Struthio camelus: one gene and its partner. The protein of the gene in region 2 interacts with the protein of the main gene of each other region in a biochemical or structural test. Links are inferred from orthologs where the notes say so. Each region holds a gene or a part of one and is shown on either strand. Other genes may lie near its edges.

Evidence for each region.
Region 1: of the proteins of SRC (region 2) and TAMALIN, one has a biochemical effect on the other in vitro, tested with the Homo sapiens proteins (2 studies listed by BioGRID and IntAct, with this or other methods). The link is inferred for Struthio camelus from reciprocal best matches to the Homo sapiens genes SRC and TAMALIN.

Annotation. Positions count from the first base shown.
Region 1 is NC_090969.1:1,126,811-1,136,198, forward strand, and holds TAMALIN (protein TAMALIN), read right to left. Parts: upstream 3,850-9,388; coding exon 3,715-3,849; intron 3,057-3,714; coding exon 3,007-3,056; intron 2,559-3,006; coding exon 2,504-2,558; intron 2,259-2,503; coding exon 2,156-2,258; intron 2,043-2,155; coding exon 1,949-2,042; intron 1,859-1,948; coding exon 1,792-1,858; intron 1,672-1,791; coding exon 1,605-1,671; intron 1,501-1,604; coding exon 1,160-1,500; 3' UTR 852-1,159; downstream 1-851. UniProt on the Homo sapiens protein: Plays a role in intracellular trafficking and contributes to the macromolecular organization of group 1 metabotropic glutamate receptors (mGluRs) at synapses.
Region 2 is NC_090959.1:7,546,126-7,555,804, reverse strand, and holds the start of SRC (proto-oncogene tyrosine-protein kinase Src), read right to left. Parts: upstream 3,996-9,679; 5' UTR 3,969-3,995; coding exon 3,891-3,968; intron 2,473-3,890; exon of another isoform or gene 2,393-2,472; intron 1,813-2,392; exon of another isoform or gene 1,653-1,812; coding exon of another isoform or gene 1,602-1,652; intron 1-1,601. UniProt on the Homo sapiens protein: Non-receptor protein tyrosine kinase which is activated following engagement of many different classes of cellular receptors including immune response receptors, integrins and other adhesion receptors, receptor protein tyrosine kinases, G protein-coupled receptors as well as cytokine receptors.

The DNA.
Region 1 (9,388 bases), on a different chromosome or scaffold from region 2:
CATCCTGCTCCATCGCAGCCCCTGCGCAGCCCCGGGCCCCCCGCGCGGCAGGAAGGCCTCGGGGTGGGAACCGCTTTCCGAGCCACTTGCAGGCTCCCGGAGGAAGCGAGGCAGGAAGCGGGGCTGGCCGCAGCCCAGCAGCGCCGGAGCCTCCAGCCACAGGAGGGACGCCGAGGACGTGGCACTCGCGGACGGAGGCGTCACCGTGAGCCAGCGCCGGGCCCCCCTCATGACGCCAGCGGGGCAGCAGGATGCAACCCCGAGGAGGCAAACAGCAGAGCGGGGACCGCGCAGCCTGGCACCAGCAACCTCCACCCCGCTCCCGTGTTTGCAGTAGGGAGCCAGCGCGCTGCAGGGCTGCGCGTGCATTCACGTTTGCACTAGGGATGCAGCAAGCTGCAGGGCTGCGCGTGCATTCACGTTTGCACTAGGGATGCGACGAGCTGCAGGGCTGCGCGTGCATTCACGCTTGCAGCAGGGAGCCGGCGCGCTGCAGGGCTGCCCACGCGCCCAGGAGCTGGCACCACAGCACGAGCCCCACTTCCCCCCCTGCGCCAGGGTGCAAAGGGGCAGGCGACCCCCGTGCACCAGCCCTGTGCTTAACAGCTGCTTTTCCTGCCTTTGGGGGGCAAAACAGCCCCCAAAACCCAGAGACCAGGGAGGGGGGCACAGCCCCACACGGGGCAGCAAAGAGGGAAAGTCAGGGGGGATGAGGGAGCCCAGAGCCCCTGCCGGGGGGGCCGAGGCCCTACTCCAGCCCCCTGCCCCAGGGAAGGACCTGGTGCCACCAGGGCCAGCCCGCCCCCATGTCCCTTCCCTGCCACCCCGGATGAGTCGCAGCCACAAGCGGGTGCAAAAAGTCTCTGTATTAGGGCGAAGGGGGGGGGGAGCGCCGGACCCCCGCAGCCGGGCAGCGCTGCTGGCGCGGGAGGAAGGGGGAGTTTTCCTGAGATAAAACAGCGGCTTTTCCAGGGGGGAAAAAAGAAAAGTCCGCGGCCGGGCCGAGCAGCGGTCCCACCGCCCGGCGCGATCGCCCCGACGCGGGCCGAGCCGGCAGCCGTCCCCGGTTGGGGGGGGACGAGGGTGCACCCCGAGCCCCGGCAGCAGGGCTCAGCAGCCCTTGCAATAAATAAATAAATAGGCCGGGCGGCCGGGCGCCCTAGAGCTGGCTCTCCTCCTCCTCCAGCGAGCGGTTCAGTCCCGGGATGAACTTGAGCAGGCGCCGGCGGAAGCTGCTGCGTTTGCCCTTGCGGGGGGGCAGGGGGGCGGCCGCGCCGTCCCCGGGGGTCCCGCGCAGGCTGGCGCTGCGGGCCAAGGCCGGCCCGGCCCCGGCATCGCCGTCGCCCTCCGGCGTGTCGAAGACGCACGTCTGGTAGAGCGAGTCGTCGCTGCCGGCGCTGAGCCGGGGCGAGCCGCCGCCGCCGGGCAGCCCCGCGCCCCGCAGGCACCAGCGCAGCGCCTCCAGCGTGGCGTAGATGCTGGGGTCCTTGGCCACCACGCCTGGCCGAGGTCGGGGGGGGGGACACACACACAGGCGTCAGGGGGCTGCTGGTGGCCCCCCCTCGGCTGCCACCCGCTCCCCCCCCCCGGCGCCCCCCACTCACCGCGCACCAGCCGCTGCTCCTGCACCATCAGCGAGCGGTACTCGCCCCACTTCTCGTAGAGGGTTTGCTGCGAGCGGGAGAGGATGCTGCGGAGGGGACCCCGTGCATTGGGGACGGGGCGGCGGGGGGGGGGGAACCCTGCATCCCACCCCCCCCACCCCCGGTATCCCCCCCGCTCCCGCCTCACCTTCAGGTATTGCAGCCGGGCTTCCAGCTCGGCCCGCCGCACCGCGGTCCCGTAGAGCGTGTCGAGCCTGCGGGGCAGAGCCCGTGAGCGTGGGCTGGCGGCGGGACGGGGACGGGGACAGGACAGGTGTCCCCCCCCCCCCCCAAAACCATCTCACCTGAGCAGGTCGCCGGAGCCCTTGATGATGTCCACGATCTCCCGGTGCCGGACGCCCTCCACGTTCAGCCCGTTCACCCCCGTGATGGTGTCACCTGCCCCAGCGAGCGGCCGCCGCCGGCAGGGACGAGGCTCAGCTCCCGCGGACCAGTGGCCCCGGACGCCTGGGTCCCCCCCCTGCTCCCCCGGGACGGACGGACGCGCTCACCGGCTTGGAGCCCCGCGGCGGCGGCCGGGCTGCCGTCGTGCACCCGGCACACGAAGGTGAACATCTCCACGCTGTTCTTCTCCTGGTGGTGCAGCCCGTAGGTCTGAAAGGAGCAGCCGGGTGAGGGGCGCCGGGTGGTCCCCCCCCCTCCCCAAATTGCACCCCGCGGCACCAGACGGCCGCAGCCCCCGACCGGGGCGCGCGGCGGCCGCGAGGCTTCGGGAACCACGCAGCTTCGCCGGCGTTAAAAATAAACCCTGGCTCGGAGGCGCTTTTAAAAACACCCTCGGTGCAGAAGCGAGGTGCCGGGCGGGGGGCACGGGCGAGGACCCCCGGCGCCCCGCTGACCTGGATCTCGAAGCCGAACGCCTCCTCCGCCTTCTTCTCCAGCGTCACCACCCTCCTGCGGGTGGGAAAGCGGCGTTAGGGACACGCCGGAGACGTTTCCGGGGGGGGGGCAGCCCCCTCATCCGCCCCTCCAAGACTTGTGGTGCTTTTCTAATGAAAACCCGCTTTGAGGTTTGGGGTCCCCCCCCCCCCACTGCGCTGCTGCTGGCCCCGAGCCCGGCGGCAGCCCCCGGCCCCGGGGGGGGGGGGGGGATTCGTCCCTGCAACCTGCCCCGGTGCGCGTTCACCCGCGTCCCCGCGGGGGTCCCGGGCCGCTACAGCGAATCGCCCCTGCTCTCCCCAGCTTTGGGTTAAAGCACAAAACAAAGTTCACGCAGAGACTTTCGGGGCGGCTCTGCTCCCCCGCGGCCCCGGCTCTTGGGAGCCGCAGACGGGAAGCGTCGGCGGCCGGGGGCTGCGGCCGGCCAGAGCCCAAAGCGTCGGCCAAGGGCAGCGGTACCCACCTGCGCTCCTGCGGGGACTCCCCGGGCGACCTCCGCCTGCACCCGGCGCCCTGCGGCGGACCAGAGGCGTTAGCGGGCGACTCCGTCCCGCAGCACGTCCTCCCCCTCGCCGGGGGACCGGCCCCGACGGGGTGTCCCGCAGCCAACCCCCCCCCCGCCATGCGACCCCGCCAGCCGTCCCCGCCGGGTATAAGGAGGCTCTTATCCGCAATCACAGCGGCCCTCGCCTCTGCCTCGCGCTCGCCCCACGCTTTGACGTCAGGCCGCGGCCGGTGCCCTGCGACAGAGGGGCCCTGTTTTTAAGCACAAAGCCTTTTTTTGTTGTTTTTTGTGTGTGCGTGTGTGGTTTTTTTTTTTTTAAATGCAAAACTCACCCCCCCCGCCTTGGCCCAAACAACCCCCCCTTATCGCGGCGCGGCGCCGGCAGCGCGGAGCAGGACGGCGGCGACCCGACGGCACCGGGCGGGATTGGGGACGGAGGGGGGGGGGGGGGGTGCCGCCGCGCCCGGCCGAGAACGGCCGCATTCATCGCACCGATGAGCGGGTTTCCCACCCACCTCCGCCAAGCCCTGCGCGCGGAGCCCCGTCGTGGGGGGGGGACACGCGGCGGCTCCGGTCCCAAAAGCCCCGGAGGCCGCAGGAAGGAAGGAGCCGCGGCGGCGGCAGCGACGCGCCCGGTGCGCCCCGACGGGACCCCCCGCCACCCACCTTGCGCACGCGGGGCAGGGTGCCGCCGGCCGCCGCCAGCGCCCGGTAGACGTCGGGGGGAGGCACCGGGCCCGGGGGGGCCGCCGCCGCCGCCTCCTCCTCGGGCAGGAGCCGCCGCCGCCGCCGCAGGGTCATGGCCGGGCGCGGGGCCGTCGGCGCGCCGCTATAAGGGCCCCGGGGGCGGGCGCGGGGGGGCGGTGCTAGGCAAGGCCACGCCCCCACACCGGTCGGGACCACGCCCACTCCCCCAGCGCAAACCACGCCCCGTTTCACTCGGATGAGCCCCCGCCCACTTCGACGGCTCGGCCCCGCCTCTCGGGCTAGCCCCGCCCCCGTCCAGCTGCCGGGGGGAGCACAGGGGCATCGGGGGGGGGCTGAGGAGGATCGGGGGGGATCGGGGGGGACTATGGGACATTGGGGGAGCGGGGGGGTGTCGGGGCATCGGGGGGCATCGGGGGAGCAGGGGGGCATCGGGGGAGCAGGGGGTATGGGGGGAGCGGGGGGGTGTTGGGGCATTGGGGGGCATTGGGGGAGCAGAGGGGCATCGGGGGGCATGGGTAGAACTGTGGGGCATGGGGGGAGCGGGGGGCATCGAGGCTTCAGGGGGCATGGGGGGAGCAGGGGGGCATCGGGGCCATGGAGGGACAATGGGGCATTGGGGAAGCGGAGGGGTCGGGGCATCGGGGTAGCAGGGGGGCATCAGGGGGCATGGGGGGAGCAGGGGGCATTGAGGCATCGGGGGGCATCGGGGGCCATGGGGGGACTATGGGGCATCGGGGAGCAGGGGGTGCAGGGGGCGTCGGGGCACCTGGGGCATCACACCGTGGGGCCGCAGGGCGTTGGGGGGCACGGGGAGGGGGGGAGAGCCGGCGGCCCGGCAGCCGCCCCCCCCGAACCGGCCCGGAGCCCGAGCGTCCCCCCGGCGCCGCCTGGGTTTAGTTTTCAGCAGGGAGCAAAGCCGGTGACTCGCGAGCGGCCCCGGAGCCGGGAGCTGCGGGCGGCCGGCGAAGCCGCCGGGTTTCACCTGCCGCGTCGGCCCCCGAAGCATCATCGGCCCCCGAAGCGTCGTCGGCCGGCGCCGCGCAGCAGCTCGTCCCGCGACGAGTGGCCGAGCTGGAAGGACAACCCCAAACCCCCCCCCCCGAGCATCCTCCGGCCGCTGCTTTCTCAGGCCGCTTTCCTGCGGGGGCTTTGGGGGGGAAATTGCGCCGGGTCTCGCCGCAGGCGAAGGGCACCCGGGGGGGCGTTTAGGACTTCGCTCGAGGCAGAGCCTCGGCCCTGGGTCCCGCCGGGGCAGGGAAGGGATTTTAACCGTCGGCTGCAAAGCCCGACGCGCGTTCGGGACGGAGAGGTACAGGGAAGGGCGCCTTGGAGAAGGCGACGGGGCTGTTTCGGCTGGAGGTCCGTTTGCTTTTTTGCACAGGGCAGAAGCAGCCCGTTTCTGCAAAGCCTGCAGCCGACAAAGCCTCGCTCCAGGACACAGCAGCTGGAATTCAGGGGTTTGCCCAGCTGTTTATTTAAAATTTGCCAAAAAAAAAAAAATCCTGACTGCGTTACACCCAAACCACCCGCCCACAGCCTGTCCGGGGGTTACCAGGAGACAAGTTCGCTCCCAGAGCTGAACTTGTCTGGTTCGAAAGCGCTTAGGGACGGGCAGGCAGGACTCGGGGCGTCGAGCCACCTCCCTTTATCAAGGAAAACAGCAAGAAGAGCCCCATCTTGTTCCAGAAATCTGGCACCCAAGACTTCAGCCCCGTCCCAAGAGATCCCAGACCCCGGCTGTCCCCTCCGACTGCCCCTCTTCCAGGTGGCCACATGGAAAAGGAGGCAAACTTTGCCTTAAAAAAAAGAAAAAAAAAAAAGAAAAAGCCCCCCCCCCACTCACCCGTCTCCTCGTTTTACAGCATGGGGGTCTGGTTTCGCCCTGAGCGGCACGCTGAGCCCCCGGGAGCGCGGTGGGGAAGTGCAAACACAGCTAAAGGCAGATGGCAGCTGCCCCTCGCCAGCAGCCGGCTAATTCCATTAGTCTGAGCCCACGGGGTAGCCCAGGCCCCAGCTCGGGCACAGCGGATTTTCCCCTTTATCCCTCCACAACATGCTCGCTCACGCACAGGAGGCTCTAATTAGGGAGAATTAGCCCAGGCAGTTGGAGCAGCACCGGCTACCCTCCGAGCAAATAGGATTTCGTAGGGATGCTCAGCAGTTCAGACTAAAATTCCTCCTCCTTTGAAAGCGCTGGTTTGCGCAGAGCTGGCAGCCCGAGGGGGTTGTTCTGGAGAACCTCCTGCAGGACACCCTCCTGCTTCCAATTACCGTCGCCGGAGAGGGAGCGCTTTTGAGCGTAGCTTTTTATCCCTGTGCACCGAGCTTTAAACTGTGCCCTGCCACATGGTGGGCTCGCCTGTGCCGGAGCAAAGGTGTCTCGGGAAGACACAGCAGACCCACGGAAGCTGCATCCCCACCGAGAAGGGGAATGTTTAAAGCAATGAAGGTTTGCTGGGCGAGAGCCCTGGGCAGATTATTTTAGTTGCAGCCTGCTCACGACCAAACAAGCTCCCCAAACACGTCTCTAGGCTTTGTAAGACTATAACCTCCACCGGGGACAGAAGTCTGAGCTTTACCTCAGCGTCACCAGTCAAGACAGAGGGATGGAGCTGACCCGAAACGGCTCCGGTCCCTTCTGGTGACAAACAACAGATGCTTCAGATATACTAAAGCACTGCCAGCTCTAACCTAAAGATCCTGGATTCAGTCACCCCCAGCGTTGCACTCCCGCCAGGGGAGACCCCTCCGCCAAGCCTGCTCCGAGGAAGCAGAGCGCCGCTCAGGTCTTGCCCTGCGACGCCTGGTTGGGCTCCCCGCGCCAGCCCGCTGCTCGGGTCCTACCCCTCCGCGGCGCGCTCATCCCCCGCAGCCAACAGGAAAGACTTCGACACCTTCCGTGAATAAAACAAACTTTTAATAATGTACAGCAGAAATTGACAGCCTTGTTTTATATTAAACAAAAGATTTCCTATATTACATCGTATTTACATTTGCATACTGAAGAGGTAAAGTGTCTAAGTGGCTATTTTACAGTCCATTTCTAATAAAATGTACAAAACCAAACAAATAAAAGGGGCAGATAAGTACCAAGAGATCTGTTCTGAAGCCAGCGTACCACTGATGAGCCCTGTGCCACAGGCGAGAAGCACAAGGTCTGTATCTCTGCCTCTCCCCAGCAATCTTCTCCCAAAGAGCTGAAGCCTCCTGCTCCCCGATTTGAACTGATGTGGCATCGGTCGCGTCCTGAACTGCCTGTAGTGTTGCATCCTGTGACAGCTGCTGCAGCCACCTCTGAGCTGGGCAGCGATTCCTATGTTTGCTACCGGTCAGCTAAGTAACCGCTGCACCTCACTGGCACACGTTTGCATGAAAAGTGCTGTATAAATGCTACATAGTTAGCGTTCCCATCTCGGATCCTACTCTGTTTTGACCGTACTGCGATGGCATCTGTCTCTACAAACAAGGCTTGTTTGACGGTCCTCCTTAGAGGGGACGCTCTGCCGTCCTGCCCTCGCCCCTTCCAACCCCATCCGGTCCGATACTGCTCCGCTGTCTGCTGTTTGGTATAGCATTGAGGCAGGTGCATGTGTGGCTACAGTAGGAGGAGCGGGCGAGTGAATCAGTGCAAGTTACATAGCTGATTTTAGTGTCCTCAAGAAGCAGCCTGCACAGTTAACAGGAACAGGAGACTCGCGCTTGGAAACAAGAATCCGTAACGCTCGCGGAAGAGCACGCGGCAGACGTACCTACCAGCGTGATGGGCTTTCCTATGGCAGTTTATTTCACAGTCGCTAGGACTTCCTCCCCAACCTCTTGGGAAGGGCCATCGCAAGGGTCCTGTTACAGCAGCTGAAGAGTCTTTTGGGTATCTGTGAAGTGCCCACCACCCAAGGTTCCTAAATGCAGAAGGGTTTGGTAAAGGAATATACGGTACTGGAGATGCATGGTAACCTCTGGCTGAGAAACAAGTCAGAACAAATCGGAAAGGGAAGGGAAGCTGTACATTCACAAAGCGTATACTCCACACAGCTCCATGAATCAGTCTGAAGTCTGTAGACCCTCCCAAGACAGCTTTGCACTGCCTGACAGTTAAAAATCCACGGGAGAATGCAAAAATGGCTCCAAACATGATGCAAAAAACACTTCGCACTTGACACAGATAAAAATCACAGACAAGAGAGGGGGTCTGGGAGAAGGCAGACACACAGACAGATATACAGACAGCAAGAACAGAGTGTTTAAAAAGAGGAAAAGAAAAGAAGAAGAAGAAGAAAAAAAAACTTAACCCCGATGGCCGGAGCAGAGATTAAACCTCACCTTACAGAGCAGGCTCAAGGTTTGAGTAGAAACAGTTCCAGTGTAAATCGAGCTGTGTGCATTTGGTTTTTTTTCCTTTTTTGCAGTGATTTCTTTACAAACAAAGAGGTTGAGAGGTAATAATTATAGATTGTTTTTCTTCTCTTATAAAGAATTAACAATATTAAAAAAAGTTAAAATCCAGACCCTCCCATAAAATAAAAAAAATAATCAAAACCACTCCAGTTAAAAGTTATGGCTTCAGTTATATACCATAGATACTGACCTAACCAACAAACAACTGATACTTCCAAGAATGCCTTCAGTGTTGCAATCAGCGCTACAGATTCAGTCCTCAGCTACTTCCATTTTTGCTAAGCCCAGCTGTAGACAACCGTCAAATCAACTCTACTTCACCCTGATTGGTTATTTAACTAAAATAAAATTCATGCAGTTCCCCCCACCCCACAAGTTATACACAGCCACTTCCAGATTATGAGATATTTATATATGTATATCAAAAAGATGGACATTTGTTTCCAAGCCCACACTCCACTGTCAGAGCCTGTGAAGTGCTGAGTGTCCCCAGGAGGTACAGAGCACAACCAGCTCGCAGACACCCAGCTCCTTGCAGCTCGGACCCTAAGTAGTCTGCCTCAAGTTGTGGGTCGCTCCAAAATCAGATTCCTGCAAGAATAATACCCCGTGGTATTATCACTGCATTTCCCCGTGGCCTGGTCTCCTTCCAGCCAGGCACGGTGCCTGCTCTCACTGATGTGCATCTCCGCTCTGTGGCATTTCCCCCCAACCCCCCACCCACCCCAGGTCTCTTTTCTCTTTTCATAAACCCCAGGGGCTCAAGACAAAAGCCTGGATTCCAGGAGTGAAGTCGGTTCCTCATTTGTTTTGTTTTGTTTTTCTTTAAAAAGGGGAGGGGGTGGCAGTGAGGCAACCTGACGGGAAGCTCCTGCAGCCGGCACACGGACAGCAAGGCACCCATAGGAGAGCTAAGGATCTGGTCTTAAGCAGCCTGTCCAAGCTAGACAATGCTCACTACTGAACAAGGAGGGCACCAGCACGCACAGCTCAAAAAAAGGACACTCTAGATTTGCACATGCACAGAAAGCACGAACAGAGAGGAGCGACCCTACAGGCAGACACTGTACGTCTACGGAAGGAGATGAACAGGCACAGGGGACACGCGCATCTCGCGCATGCATACACCATTGCGCACACTGACAGCCAGTTGGATTTCTTTTGTCTTAGGATTCTTCAAGCTTAAGAAAAAGGAGGGAAATGGTTTCATGAAGCTGATAAACTGTCCAGGCTCAGC
Region 2 (9,679 bases):
TGCAGGTGCTGGGTCCTGGCCTATGTTCAAATCACATTTGTGCCTGTTTCAGGGCTTTATCTTCAAATCGTGCTTTGAACAGAGGCAGGCGCAGAGCATCGCTGGTTCCCTTTGCACCCAGTCCTGCTCGGGGCCTTGCACCGACGGGCAGTCGGGCCAGCACGGAGCAAAAGCAAGGATTAGGGCCTGGGTACGCTCGAACGTCGGCTCAAGCCAGCTCTGATTTAGCCACGCTCAGTCAATTACTTGCTCCTTTCTCCTAAAGCGGACTATCTCGTGGCTCACCGCCAACTTAAAACATCCAGGACCAAAGTCATTACTTTCTTTCCGAAGCTTGCTTTAAAATAGCACTACAACACATTCCACGTTTTTGCTCATAGTCGGAGACTTCGGCAAAACGCGAGCCCAGAGGGAATTATTCTCAACGACCCGGAGTTACAAGCCTTAGAAAACAGGACTACGCTGGAATGGAAACAGTGACAGTCTGAGCCCGAGTCACATGAAGAGCATTACAAGGATGGTTATTTCCACGCAAAGAGATTTAAGCTGGTTTTAGGGCATCGAATTAAAGGAACGGCTCCTGGGCAGAGCATCGCGGCCCACGGTCCGGGCACGCGCGCTCTGCGCCGGCCGTTTCGCACCAGCCGAAGCCTTTTCCAGCCCTTTGCACTGGACGAATTTCCAGTCGGGCTCCAAGATGAGACGCAAAGTGCTGAGGAAGTGAGGTCATATGGGAAATTGTTCTGAGAGATAAAGGAACAAGTTAGAAACCAAGCTGCAAAATAGACAGTACAGGAAACAATAGAGCTTTAGATAGTCTTTCAAATTTCCCCTAGTGATGCCAAGAACACAGCACTTCATAGGAGCAATGCTCTTTTTTTTTTTCCTTTTTTTCTTTTGCCTTACACATGCTGCAAGGAAACACAGACTAAAAGATTATGGAGCCGAAGTTGTTTGCTTCAGCCCAGGGCTTGCTCAACCTTTTATCTCGCTCCACGTATTTGTCGGTGGTTAAAATAAGACATTATGGGCCAAGTCTTTCAAGTCTCATTAGAAAAGAGTTGAGTGACTCAAAGGCCAGACTTAATCCCGTTATCGGCGGTAGCCCCAGCAGGGCCTGGGGATGGGGCTGTCTCCCCAGCCCATGCCACCACCCGCCTCGGGGAGCAGAAGTGGCTCCTGCCACCTCGGTGCCACACGGCAGCTTTCCTTCCTGGCGCTTCTGCGCTGCCAAACCTGCAAAGCGACGCTCGGACGGATCAGAGGGCTCCAGCGAGCCAGGCTGAGCAAACCCCTCGTGAAAGAGCCGAAAGCCCTCACGCCACCCACGAACGCGACTGCCACAGGGAGCCAGGGACCCCGAGGGGAGATTGGCAGGCAAGGACAACATCTCAGCAGAGCAGCTAGCGCAGCAGGAAGGACCGACGCGGTTTCAGACGCGCAGGAGCCCCACGGTCCCGTCCAGCCTTCCTGGCCCAGGGCGAACCCACTGAACAGACGCCACTTCCCCCAAAATGCACACAGGGACGCACAGAGAGCCGACTCTGCAAAAAAACCCAAAACAAACCAAAACCCTTGGGGGGTCCAGAGTGCATACATACCCGCCAGCCCCCGCCTCGGGGAGGCTGCGTGACTGCTGACGTCCCCTCCATGGGGCAACAGAGCTTCTTGTCCCCCCAGCAGAGCCTCCACGTACTTTGGTCGCTGCAAACTGCAGCTCTTCCCTTTCATCTTCCACCTCCCAGCTCTCTAGCTCGGTACTTGGACGCTCCTTTCTCTCTCCCCACGGTACCTAGATGATTTTCCATCACTCTGGGACAAAATCGTTACAGGGCAGAGATATCATTAGAGCATCTCCATCACACAGGGAGCACTGCAAGGCCACTAACGATCTAGACAGGGAACATTGGACTTCCCTGAGCGACTGTGTCAGCCCATAAATAACCCAGGCTCCCAAATCACCAGGCTGCGTTTCAGTGGAGCTACTGACTGTAAGGTGAAAGGGTGAGTCTCTGCTCTCGGACTCCCGGGTCAAAACCTGGAGGTGGACACTGACCCCTGTATTGTAAGCAAAGGTGCCCTCCTCTGAAAAACGAGCTCAGGACTGCAGAGACAATTCCCTCGGGAGGGAGCACACACGCCTGATCCCGGAGATCCCAAACAGTCACATCTCTGGTGGGGGGCACGCGCCGGCAAAGCCGTCTGCGGCCCTCACGCCTCCCCAGGAGAGCGCGGCCAGCCCAGGTCCGAGCCCGCCCCGTGCCCTACGCGGGGGCTTCGGCACTCGTAGAGTCACCGCGGGCCGGCGGGGAACTCGGAGCTTGGCAGAGACGAGCGGCTTTCCCAGCATCGAGCGCTGGTCTCTGGGAGTTTGTCATGACCTAGTACTCACGCCTGGGCGCTAGTCACTGCTGCCTGCGGGCACCTCAGCAGGTTAGAGAAAAGCTGCACACACGCTTCAGCTTCCTGCCTGTTCTACACCTTCTCCTCTGGGGAGCACCAGGCTGGGAGGAGGGAGAAAACCCCCACCAACCCTTTCCCTGCCAGGCTCGCGCGGCTGGGTTTGCACGCAGCGCTGCTGAACGTGTGCTTTCCTGTCCCTTTCCCGCTGCGCAGGTAGCGCCGTCCCCAGGCACAAGCCAGAGCTCGCGCGGCGCATGGGGACAGGACCTCAAGGATGACCGCAATAACGGGTCACAACACCCCAGCAGGAGCGGCTTCAGAAGCCCTAAGACTTCTCACAGCAACGGAGGGAGGGGGCCAGCACGGGGACCGACGGTCACATCCGCTCCAACAGCAGCAGGGCTGAGCCCTGGTGCAGCAGGGCCGAGGGGACAAGGCAGGAGAAGGGCAGGGTGACGGGGGAAGAGCGCAAGGCACGCGGCCGGCGAAGCGCACGCAGAAACGCAGCAGAAACGCAGCGGAAATGATTTTGCAGGAGGCTGCACAAAAGTTCTCCGAGAGACCGTTCGGTACCAGACACGAGCACGCCACAGTCAGCGCCCAGACACGCCGCGTCCTCCTTCGCCCCACGCGCGCCTCGCTTCCCGCGGGCCCCAGCCCCGCAGCTCGCCCTGCGGCCGGCACGCGCGGGAGCCCCGCATCCCACCGCGACCCGGCAGCGCGGCCGGTGGGCACCTCCCCGGCATGGCAGGCAGCGAGGCAAGGAGGAAAGCCCACCCCGGCTCCAGCTTGGCTCGGGCACCCGGGGCTACGGCGCTTTCCCGTGGCGCCAGGGGCTGTCATAGAGACGGTGGGGACGCAGCAGCGTAGCTGCTCGCAGACGCCCATCGGGGTGCATCACCCCGGCTGCAACAGGGGAACTTCCAGGCTGGATAAAGCCTTTAATCAGGCAATCCAGGGCCCTGCAGCTTCCTACCAGGCTGATCCCAGGCAGCCCAGGAGAAAGGGCACAGAAAACAGCCTTGGCCTAACAGGGTCCTCCGGGTCCGTCAGAGCTGGACATGACCCCCAGAATTACCGGTGAACAAACGCTACGAGGGAAGTGGATCAAGAGACATCAAAGCAGGGGGGGTGATGAATATTTCATGTCCTGGCCTACATACAGCCCGCTCTCCCCGCCCTGCGCTCCCGGGGGTCCCCCGCAGCCCCCAAACACAACAAAGGGGATCGCGGGCAGGCGGTGCAGCTTGCCTGGACCCCACAGCCGTCCTCTCGGACCTGGCCAGACCCACAGCCGCCCAGCCAGATGTGGCCCGACCCATAGCTGCCCAGATGGACCTGGACATGCCCAGCTGCACCCACAGCCGCCCCATCGGACCTGCCCAGACCCCGAGGCGCCCAGACGGAGCCGCCCAGATCCAGCTGGACCTACAAGCACCCCGCCGGACCTGACCAGACCTAGCTAGACCCATAGCCAGCCGCCCGACCTGGCCGGACCCAGAGCCGCCCGGAGGGACCTGGCCATCCGCAGCCGGACACAGAGCCACCGGCCGCAGCGGCAGCATCCCGGCCGGACCCCGCCGCCGCCCCGGCGTCTCCAGCCGGACCCCCGAGCCGGACTGCGGACATCCCCCCGCCGCCGCCGCCGCCGCCGGAGCCCGCTCACCTCGGCGCGTGCTCGGCCCCGCTTTGTCTCCGCGCCGGGGGCGCGGCCGCCGCCGCCACCCGCCGCCGCCGCTCTGGTGCCCGGGCCGCCGCCGCCGCCGCCGCAGCCCCGCGCCGCTCTGCTCCGCTGCGCTCCGCGCCGAGCCGGGCCGGGCCGGGCCGGCTGCTCAGGGCTGCGCCGCCGGCAGCACCGCGGAGCGCCGCGGATCCGGCGCGCTGCTCCCTCGCCCGCCCCCGCTCACCCCTTCTCTGGTTGGGGGGGGGGGGGGACGACCCACGGGGGGGGGGGGGGGGGAAGAGGAATATGGCAGCAAACCGGAAACGGCTTTATAGGAGGGGAAAAAAAAAGCAGCAGCCCCTCCCCTCGGGTGGTGGTTTTTTTTTTTTTTTTTTTTTTTTTTAAAGGGAGAAGGCTGCGGGCAGCCGGGCTGCGCGGGCGCGGAGCGGGCGCGGCGCCGCCGGTCACGCCAGGGGCAGCGCCCCCGGCCCCCCGGGGGGGCGGCGGCGGCGGCCCGGGCCGCGGGGCCCCAGAGGCGGCGCGGCGCGGCGAGGGGCTTCGCCCGGGCCTTTCGCCTCGCCCTCCGGGCTGCCCCTCCGCGGCGGGGCTGCCAGCGCTAGCGTATTACCGGGAACCAGAGCTGGTGACGGAGAGACAAGGGGTTTTCAGAGTGGTCAAAATCTGGCTATTTTCCCTTCGCTTTATTAGGCAATTCTAACAAACAGCACATAGCGGGGAGCGAAGCTGTTTTGTCACAGCTCCGCGCTCGCGCCTAAGCCCTTCATCCTCGGCAGAGACGCCTGGCGATAGCAGGACGGCTTAAAATCCGTCCTCCTGATATTTTAAAAGGTGGCAAAACTTTAGCGTAGAAAAAAAGGCAGAGAGAAAGCCAGTCCACGTGTGGCCGTAAGGCCCTGGGGGAGCGGCGAGGGCGGCCGGAGCGGCGGGTGGGCGGGCGGGCGCGCGCGAGCGGGGCGCCGCTCTGCCTCGTCCGTCCTCGCCGGCTCCGGGACGGGCCGACAGGGAGGGTGGCAGCGCCTGGGCCGCCGCAGGTTACGCCCTCGGCGGTGGTGGCAGCGCGGCTGTCCTCGTCTCCGTCGCGCGATCCGCCACCCCAATTCGCAGGCTGGAGCAACGCGGCCGGGCTCAGCCGCGGCGGGGACGGTGGCGACGGGTGGTGGGGAAGGCCCCCGCTCTCAGTCGGCGCCGGTTCCTCCTGCCCTGGAGAAGTGGCCCGCCTGGAGCAGAAGTGCTGCCGAGCGGCTAAGGGGAAGCGGAGGGCCGAACGCGCAGCACGAAGGCGACCGTTGCCCCGCCGCTCCCTCCGTTCGCTTGCCCGAAACACGTTCATCAGTACCTTCCTCCCGGCGAGGGTTTTGAGGAGTCTCCCGGCGCTTCCCCCGGCCCCGAGCAGCGCCCCTTCCGCGAGGCGGCCGCGGGGCCGGGCCGGGCCGGGCCGGGGGGAGCGCCGCGGAGCCCGCGCCCCGCCGCGCTCTGGGCCCCTGCCCAGGGGCCTGCTGGCGCCGCGGCGGGCGTCGAGGCTGCCGGGCAGCGCTGCCTCAGCCCTCCCCCAGCTCCCGTTAGCAGCCCGCTGAATCGTTCCCTGTCACTTTATCCTGCGGGAAGAAATTGGGTGAAGCAGTCGGTTGCCACCCGTGTCGCTGTTTTATGAGGCGCGCTCGGTCGGCGGCGGACTACAGTAATCCGCTGGCTGGGTCGCTGCAGCCAACCGCCCGCCTGTGGCCCCGCCGGCCAGCCCTCCCCGCCAGCCCTTGCAGCCACCGAGGAGGGGCTTTTCGAAAACGCCGCAAGTCCCAGCGAGATCTGACCCTGTAGAAACGATCTGAAAAGCTAACGAGTTTCAGAAAACAATGTGGCTGCCCCCCCCCCCGCCTTGTTCTTGTTAAGTTATTAAACAAATATTTCCCATGACACGGCTGAAGGCCAGCGAATCCATGAGTCACCAGGAACGAGGAGTCACGCACCCCGCGGCTCCATCACCCCGGCCCGCGCCGCGCGGGGCCCTGCCCTGGCAGGAGCGCCTCGGCTGATAAGGCCCCGTAGGAGCTGCGCTTGGCCGGAAAAGCCCAGCCCTTTCCCTCCCAGCGCCTCGGAGGGCCGGGCACCGGCAGGCGCTCGGCAGCGGCGGGCGGTTGCTGGAGAGCGAGGGGCTGCGGTTCAGCGCGCCTGCTCGCTCCTTGCCTGGCGGTACGGCGGGCTGCGCGAAGGCCCGGGGACGCGCTCCTCTCCCGCCCGCTCCGGCGGCCGCCGGCAAGTCCCGGGGAGCTGCTCCGGCAGGTAACAGCGCCCCGGGGAGAGCGACGGGCTCGGCCCCAGGCCCTGGGGGAACCGGTTGAACTCAGCCTCTGCCGGATCCAGACCCAAAGCTGAGATGCAATGATGACTTATACATATTTGGATTTTGTTTTCCTCTTTTGCAATCAACTCCTTTCCTGCGGGCTGTCCCACAATCGCGTTTTGCATCTCTGGCGGGGCCGGCCAGTCGCTCAAAGGCGAACAGCAGAAAGCCCTGTGCCTTCGAACACGCTGTACCAAAGCCGCGGCACAGTCGCTCCTTCGATGAAGACACCAACGGGCAAATCTAGAATGGCAAAGAGATACCCTCAAAAACCAGCCCCTTATCTTCTGGGCTCTGATTCAGGAATGTGCCCTCGCAACACTGACATTAAACACCCGGTATTGGCGATAATGCAATTTAAACTCATTCGAGTTTAAGCAACTCAACACACTTGAGTGCTTTCTTGAATCAGACTCAAACTCCTGAGACTGAAGGACAACTGCCGTCAAAATATTTTTCATTAAACAGTCTAAAACAAGATCCTTCTTACCCAACCCAGGGTTTTAATGTCTTACCTGAAACTTTTTTTCTTGAGATGTTTTATTTCCGTTCGCTTTTAAACAGCACCAATCAAACCCGTACTGGAGAGGGGAGAAGGGTTATAGAGCGAGGCTGAAACAGAGATAAAAAGTCACCGGCAAATTTAAAAAGCATCACTGGATATTTCTGCTGTCTCGCTTATTACAGCACATCTTGATCGCTTGTTAGAATATCATTTTAAGATGTGCATAGGCATTTTCCTGCTTTCCTGCTGATCTTTAGCAGGAAAAAAAAAAAAAAAGAATGACAATCACTATACCCAGAGCGCTGTCAGGTTAATGGAGTAAATAAGTATATGGTTTCTTTGTTACTGCCGTCAGGTGTACACATCACCGGTAGCCGTTGATGTACGTCAACATCGGCGGAGAGAGCTCCCCGGCTGATGTCTAAGGCCCTACGTGCGCCGTGCTGCAGCGCGCCGCAGCGGGGCCGGAGGCTCCCCGCTTCTCCCAGCCGGCCGGGGCTGCGCGGCGGCACCCTGCCCCTCAGCGGGGAGGTCCTCAAAACGCGGCATGAGCCACATCGAATTGCTCCGCGAGACTCGGAAAATCTTCTTGTAAAGCAAGAGGATGCTTTTGGGGCCCAATAATCGATCTGTGTCCTGACCTCAAACTGTAGCTGTGGCTTTGCGACAAAACATCTATTCATCTCCAAACAGATTTATTTTTAAGCATCTCCTTGGCAAGCGTGAATGAGTTTTGTTTAATGGATCCTGTTCCTGAGGCCACTTGCATTTTATTCACTGCAAAATCCAAACACATTTGCCCGAATTATTACTCTTAATAATAGAACAGTTGTGTTCAAGCTGCTGGGCAGAGGCAGAAGCGGGAACGGCTCTTTCCCTAAGAATTTACGATCATTGAACTTTACAGTCTTGCAAATAGTGAGCGTGTGCGACAGCAAACGATGAGAACGACCAGATCCATTAGGAAAGCCGCAGTTATGAGCTATGGGGCTGATTTACTAGGGGGAATTGAGGAGAATAGCTCTTGCAGTACAAGCCATTTGGCAATATTTCGTCGCAGAATCTGATTCTGGCCATTCTCTCCTGCACTGAGCATCAGGTCCGCAAGAGCAGAGCGACAAGAACTGCTTGCCAACGTCTGGTGGGCTGTATGATAAAAAAGGGCAGTTGAAAGGAAGTCACCAAGTGGACTCAGGACATCGCTCAGGAAAGGGGTCAGTGGGCGGGTGGAGGAAAGGGGTCGGTGGGCGGGTGGCAGCTCAAGACCTGCCGTGCCCTTCGGTGTGGCGACAGTCTGCCACGTCCGTCGGCTGGGGGAAGGCGAAACAGGCTCTTACCCCAGCTCTGAAGCTGCACAAGTCCGGTAGTGTCAGTGCAAAATTCCCTCGGGGAATGGGTGGCTGGAAAACACTCACTTAGTGGAATGTAAATGTTTGGGGAGAAGCCCCAGAGTTCTTCAACAGCTTTGGAAGGCAATTACCTATACGTTCAATACAGTCACAGCATTTCATGTCCGCTTTATATCTGATAAAATATAACATTTTGATCAGAATAGAATTAGGTATTTCGGAATAGCTCATTCAGACAAAAATTCTACACTTTTCACTTTTTGCCTCAGTTTAGAAGAAAAGCCACAAACAAAACATCGGCATTTCCTAGTGGTAGAAATTCTGCTTTTTGGCCAGTCTTAGTGTCAACAGAAACGAGCAGTTCAGAAAAGCCCATGGAAAACTGTACAGACGAGATTTATAGCCTTTCTTTCCAGCTGCTTTGCTAACAGAGCAGCTGGGGATTCCTCCCGAGTGCAGGAATCACTGGGTAGTTCAAAGCTCTTGTAGCCGCATCAACTTGACCTTCCCCTGGAGCACAAGGGGGTGTGTGTGCAGAGCAGATTGGGCTGTAGCATTCCTCAGACAGCAGAGAAGTCCCCGGGGCGCTGTTCCTGCGAGGGCAGGGCTGCTCGCAGTCACATTAGTGACTGCAGCCTGTGCCAAATGGAGCTCCAACAGACACAAGGGTGGTTCCCACTCATCATTCAGTGTTGGTCCTTTGAGCGAGGGATGGGCTAAGGAAGCCAAAGTCTGAGTCTGTAAAATTTAAACCATATGATGTTTGGATCTACGTTCAATTTAAACTGAACTAAGTAAGTGGGGGGAAGGTAGGGAACAGAAATGTTTGCCGCTTCGCCCCTCCTCTCCAAAAAAGCCTCCCCCAGCAGTTCCCTTCATCCCGGAGGCCTGATCCTCCGGGACATGCGGACATCTGCCTCAGCCACCTAAAGCAGCTGCGGTAGCATCAAAAGTATCGGCTCCGCAGAGAGCTCAGCCTCGAGGAACTTGGCGTGCGCAGACCCCAACAGCCACAGTCCGGTCGTTTTACGGCACAGACCCACCCAGCGGGATCTAATTTATAGGGCAAACTCTCTGAAAGTAGGAGAGATGTGACCTAACAAGCCCCACGGCTGCAGCACGGCTCCCTGCCCACGTGGCTACGGCCGAGGCACAAGTAAGGCAGGACGTGTCTGGGGCTGGGGCCTGACTCAGCTGCGCTCGCTTCCCTGCGCTCCGGGAGTGCTGCTGCCCTGAAACAGCTCACCCATCCCACAGTGCGTGCCGTACTCTGGACTTTGGCTGTTGGGGTTATGAATTTATAAGCTCAGAATGGGTTTTACAGAAGCAGCAGCCACAGGGAAGGTAATAGGAATTGGCTTTGGGGCCAAGGACACCTGAGCTGAAGCTGCAGCTTGGAC